Linked DNA regions of Anolis sagrei. The main gene of each other region encodes a partner of the protein of the gene in region 3 in a complex. Links are inferred from orthologs where the notes say so. Each region holds a gene or a part of one and is shown on either strand. Other genes may lie near its edges.

Region 1 (3,753 bases), on a different chromosome or scaffold from region 3:
GCTTTCCTGGATGAGCAGCCCCAGTATCCCTGGCCATTCTCTCCCAAGACTGTATTGACTCAAATCTAATGCTCATCTTTTGGGGCTAATTGACCTTCCCAAAAATTAGAGTGTGTGTTAGATTCACATAATATGGTAATCTTAGTGTTGAACCAAAGCAAAAAGAGAAGCTACTTCAGGAGCTGTTCTCTAATCTAAGGGATATCTTCTCTAATTGAATTGCCATGGCTCCATGCTATGCAATGCTGGGATTTGTAGTTTGGTGAGGCACCAGCATTCTTTGGCTGCTCCCATAATCTTTGGTCCTCTTAACACTTTTGTTTTTAAAGAAGGATTTCAAAGCAGGCAGCCACTATAATGCACACCTTTTTTGGCCAAATTACAAAGAGGGCACTTTTGGCTGCCTTTTGCACATGACATTTGGCAGAAAATACTTTTTTGTTTTTGTTTCAGGGTTTTGGAAATGGAGTTGTGCCTTAGATTCGATGGCACATGAGACTCCAGTCAATGCAGTACTCCCATTCAGACTTTGAAAGAACCCACATAAAGATAGTTTCCAATTCAGGAGCAGTTTCCAATTCCAGTTTCCAATTCAGGAGCAGATCAGAAATGTGAGAATTATTATTATTATTATTATTATTATTATTATTATTATTATTTGAAACATAACAAGATGAGTCCCCAGCAGACACTCTGCTGGCTGTTGAATTGGATCACATGTCGGACACTTCCCAAGTGTCTAGGACTGTGTGATGTATCGGCGAATAATGGGTGCAGATCCCAGTACGGTGGCATTCTGCAGCTGGCAGCTGGTAATTTTGTCAGCACTGATTGTGTTTAAGTGCAGGCCAAGGTCTTTAGGCACTACACCCAGTGTGCCGATCACTACTGGGACCACCTTTACTGGCTTGTACCAGAGTCTTTGCAGTTCAATCTTTAAATCCTCATATTGTGTCAGCTTTTCCTGTTGTTTCTCTTCAACCCTGCTGTCACCTGGGATTGCGACATCAACTATCCATACTTTGTTTTTTAAACCAATTGTGAGGTCAGGAGTGTTGTGCTCCAGAACTCTGTCTGTCTGAATTCGGAAGTCCCAGAAGAGTTTGGCATGTTAATTCTCTGTAATTTTTTCAGGCTTGGGATCCCACCAGTTCTTTGTTGCAGGCAGATGGTATTTGTGGCACAATTTTCAATTAATCATCTGAGCAATGGTGTTATGCCTCTGCTTGTAGTCTGTCTGCGCGATCTTCTTGCAGCAGCTCAGGATGTGATCTATTGTTTCATCTGCTTCCTTGCAGAGTCTACATTTAGGATCTGTCACCGACTTTTCAATTCTGGCTTTGATGGCATTATTATTATATTTATATTTATATTTATAACCTGCTTTATCTCCCCAGTCAAAGCGGCTTGGCATAAAAGCAATGGTATCCAATTTAAAATATTTATTTATTTATTTAAAATATTTATATTCCGCCCTTTTCATCCCAAAGGGGATTCAGGGCGGAGCACAACATACAATGGCAAACATTCGATGCCGGGACATGAATTCATTATATGGAAATATACAAACATTAAAACAGAATTAAACACAATCAGCATTTAAAAATTCAGTTAAAAGCTATCAAAATATATTCAAAGTTAGAAACCATAGCATCCCATGACTAGAACTTATACATCTTCATCTTTAAATGCCTGATTTAAAAAGGTTTTATTCCTGAGGTTGTTTGTCATTGAATGTTTGCCTGGTTTTTTGTTTTTTTGGGGGTTTTTTGTACTGTAAACTGCCCTGAGTCCCTTTTTGGGAGAGAAGTGCAGTCTAGAAATGATGTTGTAGTTGTTAAGGCTATCCAGACTCTTTTAAAGGAAGGCACCTCCTTTGGACTCTGAGGCAGTGAGTTCCCCAGTTGAACAGCTCTCCTTACAGATAGGAAGGATGTCTTCTTCAAGGACGATCCCCAAAAAACAATTCCTTTGCATGATTAAAAAAGTATTGGGCTACACCTAAAAAGTCCCTCTCTGTGATGAAGATGTATGTGCATAATGGCCAGGGCAAGGATTATTTGAGGGTTGCAATGGTAGGGGGAATACTCTACTGACTCAAATCTAATGCTCACTTTTTGGCTCAAATTAAGAGGCGCATTAGATTAGCATAATACAGTCATTATAGTTCAGAGTGGAGAGTAGCCTGAACCTCCTCCTTCTCTTCCAGGGAAGGTTGCCAAGGGAGGTAGAGAAAGAGGGAAGGATGCTGGTGGGGAAGGGCAGTGGGGAAAGTGGAGGGGGGCTTCAGGGCCGACTCACCTTTGCGGGCCCCATCCCAGGAGCTGCTGCTTTCCTTCCAGCCCTTCCTGCAGCCCTGCCTCCCGCCTTCTCTTCCGCTGTGGGCTCTTTCCTGTGCTGCTTCCCCCTTTCCTTCCCTCTCCCTCCTTCTCCCCAAATCGGTCACAAGGAAAGTGAGCTCCTTCCAAAGCCTGAAAGGAAGTCGCCTGTACTGATCCTGGATTAACTGTTGGGCTGCTGGCCCAGCAAAGGGCGGGAAGGCCAGCAAAGGGGGAGAAGGCGGCTGGACAGCAGTCCTATCTGGCCGACAGGATGTTCAGGCCAGGATGATGCCCTGCGGTCACTCCACCACACTCTTACACTCAGGCCCTTAAAGGGCTCCTGGCCGTTCCTGGAAGAGACCCACAGTGGCCACAGCTACGTGTCCCTCCTCCCGCCGGCCATCCTCTCCACATCTGGAAGACATTAGTGGGTGGATGCTCGTCATGCAGGAAGCACCTCTGGAAGAAGTCTCAGGAGGAAAGGAGGCCCATCTGCAAAGGATGCCTTGTTTAGTTCGAATGGATCCGCAGGAACAAGGAGACCTGACCTATCGGTGGTGGCACCCGCCCTTCATCCAATGCACTCATGTGCAGAAGGCGGAAAGAACAGGAAAAGATTGGGTTGTAGGTTTTTTTCGGGCTATATGGCCATGTTCTAGAGCAGTGTTTCTCAACCTGGGGGTCGGGACCCCTGGGGGGGGGGGGGGTCGCCAGAGGGTGTCAAAGGGGTCGCCAAAGATTATCAGAAAAACACAGTATTTTCTGTTGGTCATAGGGGTTCTATGTGGGAAGTCTGGCCCAATTCTATCGTTGATGCGGTTCAGAATGCTCTTTGATTTGTAGGTGAACTACAAATCCCAGCAACTACAACTCCCAAATGTCAACGTCTATTTTCCCCAAACTCCACCAGTGTCCACATTTGGGCATATTGAGTATTTTTGGCAAGTTTGGTCCAGATCCATCCTAGCTTGAGTCTCTGGATGTAGGTGAACTACAACTCCAAAACTCAAGGTCAATGCCCTGCAACCCCTTCCAGTATTTTCTGTTGGTAATGGGAGTTCTGTGTGTCAAGTTTGGTTCAATTCCATCACTGGGAGAGTTCAGAATGCTCTTTGATTGTAGGTGAACTATAAACCCCAGCAACTACAACTCTAAAATCAATCTTTCCCCAAAACCTCACCAGAATTTAAATATGGGCATATTGAGTATTTGTGCCAAATTTGTCCAGTGAATGAAAATACATCCTGCATATCAGATATTTACATTATGATTCACAACAGTAACAAATTTACAGTTATGAAAGTAGTAATGAAAATAATGTTATGGCTGGGGGGGGGGGGTCACCACAACATGAGGAATGGTATTAAGGGGTTGCGTCATTAGGAAGGTTGAGAAACACTGTTCTAGAGACATTATCTCCTGACGTTTCACC
Region 2 (3,753 bases), on a different chromosome or scaffold from region 3:
CTGAAAACAGGGTAAATGCTAATAAGTAAGATTTGTGTATGCATAAAAAGCAATGCCTTTTGCTTTCTGTATTATAGTGAACAATGCTCTCACATAGACACTTCCATGTACAGAAGCTGGTTTGATCAATGATGATTCTTACTTGTATAATGGCTGCTGGCTAGATTAAGATGGGCAAATATAGTAGACCCTTAGTATTCACTGCTGTTTGGCTTCAAATTCCCCCATGAATACCATCATCCATGAACGCTCAGGTCTCATTATGTACAACGACATTGTAAAATTTATTTATTTATTTACTCTATTTACTCTATTTATTCCCTGCCCTTTCTACTCCAAAGGGGAGTCAGAGTGGCTCCTGCAAAACTTCTGCAAAAAGAGTGGCTCCTGCAAAACTTCTGCAACTCCTGCAAAAATTCAATGCTGCATCGTGCAAATAATAATGATGTTCCTTAGATAAAATGGCAAAATCAAGCTTTATTTTTGGATATATATATAAGCTGTGTACAGTTGAATCAGTGGATGCAAAACCCATGGGTATGGAGAGTCAATTATATTCCTGTTTGCCTCTTCCCTGCTCATTGAAGCAGCTCAGTGATCTGACTCCCTCTGTCCAATTACCATTTCTCTAATTGTCTGGAACACATATATTTAGGGAAATGCACTGATTCCATAACTATTCCAAAATAAGAATTGTCCGGTTCTACATCCTCCTTAATAAAGATCAGAATTATCCCCCGGGCAAAAACCTCTACGTTGATAAACAGTCCAACCATATTGCCTCCAGTCTTCATTATAAATTTAATGATTATACACCTCAGTTCAAAAGAAAGCCAATAAAATCCATAGTCCAAGTATGAACGCAGAGATTCCCCTTTCCCATCCCTGCCAGAAATACTATTACATGAAAGGAACAAGATTGGCCTACTTAGGGTTTTTTTTTAAAAAAAAACAAAAAACAAAAAACTTCTCCAACATGCTAAAGAGGGTTCTTGGTTTGCCTCACCGAGTTACGCACATTGAATGAATCCCGTACATGTGAGATAGTGAGTGTGCATAAACACACAACCAATATGCCCTTTGCCAGGAAGCAAGGTCAAAGTGGCTGACTACCTCAAAAGTGTTTAAAGATTTATTACCTCCTTCTACCAATCAAAATAGTACAAACACAAGCCAGTCACATAAAGTTTTGCTATAAAAGCCCACTGGACCTGGCTCCTTGTTTCACACAAAAAGAAAACACAGATTAGAAGAGAAGTTTTTTTTTTACCAAAACCAGTCATATAATGCAGCTGTCCTGGGCCTTTGCAGTAGTTACCTGCTGCTTCTTGTCATTTTCCAGTGATGCTTTCCAAAGGTAAGACAATATTTTTAAAAAATCAAGAGTGGGCATGTTGATGGGAAATGTGTGCCTTCAGATGTTCTTGGGTTGCAGATACCAATAAAATTACATTAATTGAGGCATCAGTAGGTTAACTGTTTTTAATATTTACATAAAACTGTAATTTAAGATAAGACTGTATTAACTCTGATTAAATGCCTTCTTCAATATAAACGTGCTTACATATTCTTCCAATAATCACCAAAGTTTATTTTAACTATACATTTTGGGGGAAATGCTGTGTGTATATGAATAAGGAAAAGTGGGAAAGACTGGCACTGGGAGAGGAGGAGAGGAAGGCGCACGCTACACCGAGAGAGGAGAGGAAGGAGAGATGGGTTGCTGTGTGGAAAGGCGAGGATCCTGGCAGGAAGGCATGGGGCTGAAAAAAGCCCTTCTTTCAGCACCACACCTTCCTGCCAGGACCCTCACCCAAGTATAAGCTGAGAGGGGCTTAAACCTACCTGTTGAGGAATTAGAAATCTCCTGCTGCATCTATTAGGCAATAAGCTTGGGATGGCAGAATATGGGATCCTATCTAGCCATAAGCTAAGGTTGGTTCTCTGCCACTGAGAAGTGAAAAAGATATGAATGCATCTGGCCTGGGCATGTCCCTGAAGGGTTTTATCCCCAAGACAGACGGCATTGTTGGACTGCATCTCCCAACAGCCCCAGCCCACATAAGCCTATGGTGAAGCATTTAGAGGCTGAAATTCAACAAGGCAGTGCAATTTCCATTGTTCTAAAGGGGTTGCTCAAAACTGAAGAAGACAGGCATGTAGGCTTTGCCTTTTAATCAAATGCATCCATCCCAGTGCCAGCTGCTCCACAAAGCAGGTACAAAAGAAAGGCAGCACAACAACAGAGACCCAAATAGCATCTGGCAAAAAGGACATGCAAAACTGAACATAAAAAGTGGAGATTGAGGAAGAAGTGGGTTGTGACACTCAGGAAGAGCATACATGGGATAAAATATACCTATTGAGATTTTTTAAATGAGGTATTATTTCCTTTATCATTGGGAAAATAATCTAGAAATCATCCAAAATGTAAATACAGTGAAACACCTAACACAGTGAAGCACAGAAGACAGACAGAACCCACGTGTCTATTTAAACAATTTCCGTTGCCTTTCAAATCAAATATTCTAAATTTATATATGAAAAAGGTTTAGAGGACTTGCCAGACCATTGCAAGTATTTGCTGCCACCTAGTGCAATAGAGTGCTGTGTACAAAGCTAAGTCAGTTACAATGTGTTTATCAGCTGTTTGCAAAAGTCTACGCTTGTAGCAATGGTTATTAGGGCTGGGCGGTTTCGTTTCGTTAATTCGTAATTCGTTAATAATTCGTTAATTTTTTCAATTACAAAACGATAACGAACCATTCTGGAGCAATTATTAAAAAAAACGAATTTTCAAAAACGTTTTGTAAATGCTTTGTATTTCGATATTGTATTCATTTCGTTATTGTTTTGAGGTCGTTTCGTTATTATTTCCGCATGTCTGGGCCAGTTTTATGGTTTAATTAGTGAAAAAAAATTATAATATCACACCAACAGTCAACAACAGAGGGAGAGGGAAGCTTCAGAAGGTTTTGGAGGTTTTTTAGCGTATTTCGCGGTCGCGTCCGCCATTAACGAATCGATTCGTTATTGTTTCGGAAATCATTCGTTAATTTTTTACCATTTACGAAATTTCGTAAATATCGAACTTTTTAAAAGGAAAATTTTGTAATTATTTTAAATATCGAAACAAAAAAAAACCCCAAATACAAATCGATTTTAGAAACAAATTTTTCCGTTGTTACCCAGGCCTAATGGTTATAAATGGCCCTGGACTGTAATTTCCATCAGCCTGGCTTTACCAGAATCTGTTCTTACTCCAGAACTCAGCTTAATAAGGATTTTTCAAGAGAGGGAGAAATATCCACTGTAGGTTTGCATGTGAATAACAACATTTCAGATATCCTAACAGTCCATATTAAACTGAGGTGCTATATTTTCCTCTATTCATACCTCATTTTCAGTTTTAGGTAATTTTCTTTGTTACACAGTGACTACTTGGGATATAAAGCTAAATCATAGTTTATTACATGAAAGCAGTGTTTTGACATGCATTAGCTACTGTTTCTCATGCTATCCAAATCTAAAGAAACTGTGGCTCTCTGGTGGAATCAAACTGGTTTGTTTCCTTAATCATAATTCAAATCAGCTGCAATAGAGGTTTCTGAGATTGTGTTAAACTCTCTTTCATCAGATGTAGAAATGGGAGTTTTTAGTCTCCTCATCACAACCACACTAGAGGATTAGGTACACATGGAGGATCAACTTTTTAGGAACCACTGATCTAGACCTTAAAGTGAGCTATTGAAT
Region 3 (3,753 bases):
TTTAATAAAGTGTTTGATGTGTTCACCTTTTCTCCATACAATATACCAAATTCAGCACTGCATATTATATTCATTGATTTACCACAATTCATAACTTCAGGGAAACTGAGCCTAATAAGTCTAATTTATGTTTACTAGGGGTGGGGGTGGGTGGGCAACATTTGATGTTACTACTGATTGGAACAAAAAAAAATCCTATGCATTTTCCTGTTTCCTGTCCCTGTGCATGAAAACTACCCTAGTCTCAATATCTAAAATCTAGAGCCAGAATTTGATCAGTCAAAATTTATGTTTTGAATATATCGGGCACCTTTATAGAAAGAAACTGCTTATTCCAACTAAAAGTTGTTCCTGAAATGGATCCCACACATCATATCTAACAGCCAATGAAGATCTGTGAATTAGCCAAGATGGGCAAATTGACTATGCTAATTTTTGAAGAACCACATAATCTGGAAACACAAGCTTTCTAACCTCTTTCACTACCATCTCTCCAGTTAGCTGTTTACCATTCACAAATGGTGTACTGGAAATAATGGATATGTTGTACTGATGTTGTATATAATTTGCTGTTTACATTGCAAGATGAGGTCTCCAACTCCATTTTAGGGGAGTGAGAACATAGAAGGAACAAGGGCTTGGATGAGATAGCAAAGAAAACACTGATGAAATGATCTCCCAGACCAGTGTTTGCTTTTCTCATTGGGAAAAGAAACAGCAATGATTGCCAATACATGGAAAAACACATAGCCCAGAACACTGTGCACCCAAGTCAGAGAGCAGAGGGGACAGCTAATGTGTAACTTGGGTTTGGCAATCAAGGGGAAACAAATAAGTAGGAATCCAAATTTTCTTTTGGGATCAGTTCCTGAGCACATGAAACAAGGCAAGATCCTCTTCTCAAAAGATTAAGTCTCTGAGAGGTGAGTGACCATTTTCTACATGGATTTATTTTGTATCTTCAGCATCTAGACACAAAGTTAATTAGTTAGCTTGCTTGGAAATGAAAAATGTAATGAAATGTGAAGGTACTTTTGTGCAATGTGCTAATCGTCAACATTTACGGTTACAATCATTTGTACAATCCACATTTTGCAAAAGTCACAATTAATACGAAGTGTGGTAGGCTTTATTTCAGTGGAAGGAACTGACAAAACAACGTTTGGGTATTCCTTGACTAAGAAAATCCTATGAAGTTCATGGAGTGGCTGTAAGTTGGCAGGTGACTTGACAACATACACATACATGGGGAAAAAATCAACTCTATCCAAGGATTCCCCTAGTTTTGTTCTAACGGTGCTTGGGTTGCATCATTTGTGAATATATGCGAGGAGGAGGTAATTAAACAAGAATAATAATCTGGACCCAGATTATTATTCTTGTTTAATTTGAAAGGATCATAAACACTTTCTGTGAAATTATTAAGCCCAATGCGGAGAAGGTGGAATGGGGGTACTAACGGGGAAGCAGGGTCAACCTGAATCTTTGGCAAGTCATTGTTTCAAAATGGAATGGGAAAGGCTGTACAAACATCAACTGGTCTGAACTGGTTTTGCCCTGGTGCACAATATGTTTTCAATCCTGTTAAATGTAATATGTGTATGTCATTATGATATTGTTAGTTTAGTTAGTGATTTTTTAAAAATTTTGATGTTATGTATTATGTATTTATTCTTGCTTGATTTTATATTTATTTGTTGTAAGCCACGCCAAGTCCTTTCGGAGAAGGGGCGGGATATAAATAAAGATGATGATGATGATGATGATGATTATGATTATTACAAAGATTAAGAGTGCAGTTCTACACTTGCTTAACTCAGTCCAGAATGCTCAATTGAGTTCAGTGTTTGTGTAATGCAGTTTTTGCACCAGTCACCCGCTCAAACTCAGTACTGTGCACTATTCAGACTATTGAAGGTTGCTAGATATTCACTGTGTATTGTATTCTGTGGTTGTTTTATATTGTTTGAAATGTTTTTATGAATTTTGTTGTTATATCTTAACTATGTTGAATCTCGGGCTTGTTCCCATGTAAGCTGCATTTGTATCCCTCCCCTTTGGGGAGATGGAATACAAAAATAAAGTTGTTGTTGTTGTTGTTATTATTATTATTATTATTAACACAACAAGATCAGTCCACAGCAGGCACTCTGCTGGCTGTTGCATTGGATCACATCTAAAAATCCTTCCCAAGTGTCTAGGACTGTGTGATGAATTGGCGAATAATGCATGCAGATCCCAGTAAGGTAGCCTTTTGCAGCTGGCAGATGGTAATTTTGTCAGTGCCGATTGTGTTTAAGTGCAGGCCAAGGTCTTTAGGCACTGCACCCAGTGTGCCGATCACCACTGGGACCACCTTTACTAGTTTGCGCCAGAGTCTTTGCAGTTCGATCTTTAAATTCTCATATCGTGTCAGCTTTTCCAGTTGTTTCTTTTCAATCCTGCTGTCACCTGGGATTGCAACATCGACAATCCATACTTTGTATTATTATTATTATTATTATTATTATTATTATTATTATTATTATGATGGGTGGGTAGGGGTGATAGATAAAACTGACAGCACAGTTTTGGCTCTTTTAACAGACTCCTTTTCTTGCTGTGTTGCTTTTCTGGAACAGTGAATTCAGGCAAGTGAACATCATATGCTCCTGTTTGACTATTGCCACTTTTGTTAATATAGTTACATCATGCCACCTGAAAACATAGGCTCCTCTAAGTGTATATGCTCTTTTTCATCAAGCCTGATGTAATGGTTTGGTAAACTGAAATATTTACTTACACAGCTCCTTCCCAGTGGATACACAGATATCTGGTCAGGAAACCATGTGCATTAGATTGCCACATGCTTTAAAATCCAGCACTATCCAGAGTGCTTGGAAAATCAACATGAACAGGCTTTTCCCTAGAGATGTAGCAAGTATGTAGCACACAACAATCTGTGTTGTTGGTCTGTATCAACTTGAAAAGAGACAAAGGATTCCTGTAGCACTTTTGAAACTAACTAGAAAGCAGCTTGTAGCACAAGCTTTTGTCAACTCAGACAACCTCATCAGCTGCATGGAATGAAGCTTCTATGGATATACATTTACAGGCAATCCTCAAGTTGCAAACATCTGTCTTACCTAAGACTCCTAGTTGCAAACAGGTGTGAGACTACAGGAAGTGAGTGGAAATCTACCCCTAGGAAGAGAAATTCACTCCTGGAAGAGTTATCATTTAGAAAAACGTGCCTCCACTGACACTTTCTCAACAATCCTTGTTTCCAGGACAAACCAAACATCTCAAAATCCAGTTGTCAAAGGGACAAAAGGTGAGGTGAAGCTTTAGCTGACAGCAAAACAGACATTACAGGGGTGTTAACCCTCTCCTAAGCTATCCAAAACTTTAAAATACACTTAAAATGCACATGCTCCAACTTAGGATCTCAAGCAGAGGGAACCAACTTATTCCATATCTTTTTATCTTTCCCCATCTTCTGGCATGACCAGCCATCCTGTGTACTTGCTGTGCCTTTCCCCTGCTTTCTCCCACAATCTGCAGCTTATAGTCCTGAAGATGGCTGCTAGGCTCCATGTCCATGTGCTTAGGAAATGGAAACCCGCAGAGTCCCACCAGAAGTGCCCTCCATGGGACTCCCATGGGGCTATTTCCTAAGTACATGGAAACAGCCTGAAGACCATTTGATGAAGACTTTACATGCAAATTCAGATTAAGAACAAACATACAGAACATATCATGTTCATAACTCAG

What was found. Proteins that work in one complex are often made in the same cells at the same time.
Region 1: the proteins of AGT (region 3) and ANPEP are in contact, whole or in part, in a crystal structure (PDB 4FYS), measured with the Homo sapiens proteins. The link is inferred for Anolis sagrei from reciprocal best matches to the Homo sapiens genes AGT and ANPEP. Residues at the interface, in NP_001369746.2 of Homo sapiens: Val27, Tyr28, Ile29, His30, Pro31, Phe32; in NP_001141.2 of Homo sapiens: Gln211, Gln213, Ala351, Gly352, Ala353, Met354, Glu355, Arg381, Val385, His388, Glu389, His392, Glu411, Glu418, Asn438, Arg442, Phe472, Tyr477, Ile864, Phe896, Ser897, Asn900, Gln903, Ala904, Arg907.
Region 2: the proteins of AGT (region 3) and REN are in contact, whole or in part, in a crystal structure (PDB 6I3F), measured with the Homo sapiens proteins. The link is inferred for Anolis sagrei from reciprocal best matches to the Homo sapiens genes AGT and REN. Residues at the interface, in NP_001369746.2 of Homo sapiens: Asp25, Tyr28, Ile29, His30, Pro31, Phe32, His33, Leu34, Val35, Ile36, His37, Asn38, Glu39, Lys91, Leu92, Ala95, Met96, Met99, Leu100, Phe103, Arg107, Arg148, Ala151, Ile152, Gly154, Gln353, Gln354, Asn355, Asn358, Glu391; in NP_000528.1 of Homo sapiens: Tyr81, Met82, Thr84, Gln85, Val102, Asp104, Gly106, Ser107, Asn109, Ser118, Arg119, Leu120, Tyr121, Thr122, Val125, Tyr126, Leu147, Arg148, Tyr149, Ser150, Pro181, Ala182, Leu183, Pro184, Met186, Leu187, Ala188, Glu189, Phe190, Val193.

Annotation. Positions count from the first base shown.
Region 1 is NC_090029.1:22,903,334-22,907,086, reverse strand, and holds the start of ANPEP (aminopeptidase N), read right to left. Parts: upstream 2,732-3,753; 5' UTR 2,302-2,731; intron 1-2,301. UniProt on the Homo sapiens protein: Broad specificity aminopeptidase which plays a role in the final digestion of peptides generated from hydrolysis of proteins by gastric and pancreatic proteases.
Region 2 is NC_090024.1:192,428,385-192,432,137, reverse strand, and holds the start of REN (renin), read left to right. Parts: upstream 1-1,286; coding exon 1,287-1,357; intron 1,358-3,753. UniProt on the Homo sapiens protein: Renin is a highly specific endopeptidase, whose only known function is to generate angiotensin I from angiotensinogen in the plasma, initiating a cascade of reactions that produce an elevation of blood pressure and increased sodium retention by the kidney.
Region 3 is NC_090021.1:61,835,671-61,839,423, reverse strand, and holds the start of AGT (angiotensinogen), read left to right. Parts: upstream 1-778; 5' UTR 779-923; intron 924-2,586; exon of another isoform or gene 2,587-2,630; intron 2,631-3,753. UniProt on the Homo sapiens protein: Essential component of the renin-angiotensin system (RAS), a potent regulator of blood pressure, body fluid and electrolyte homeostasis.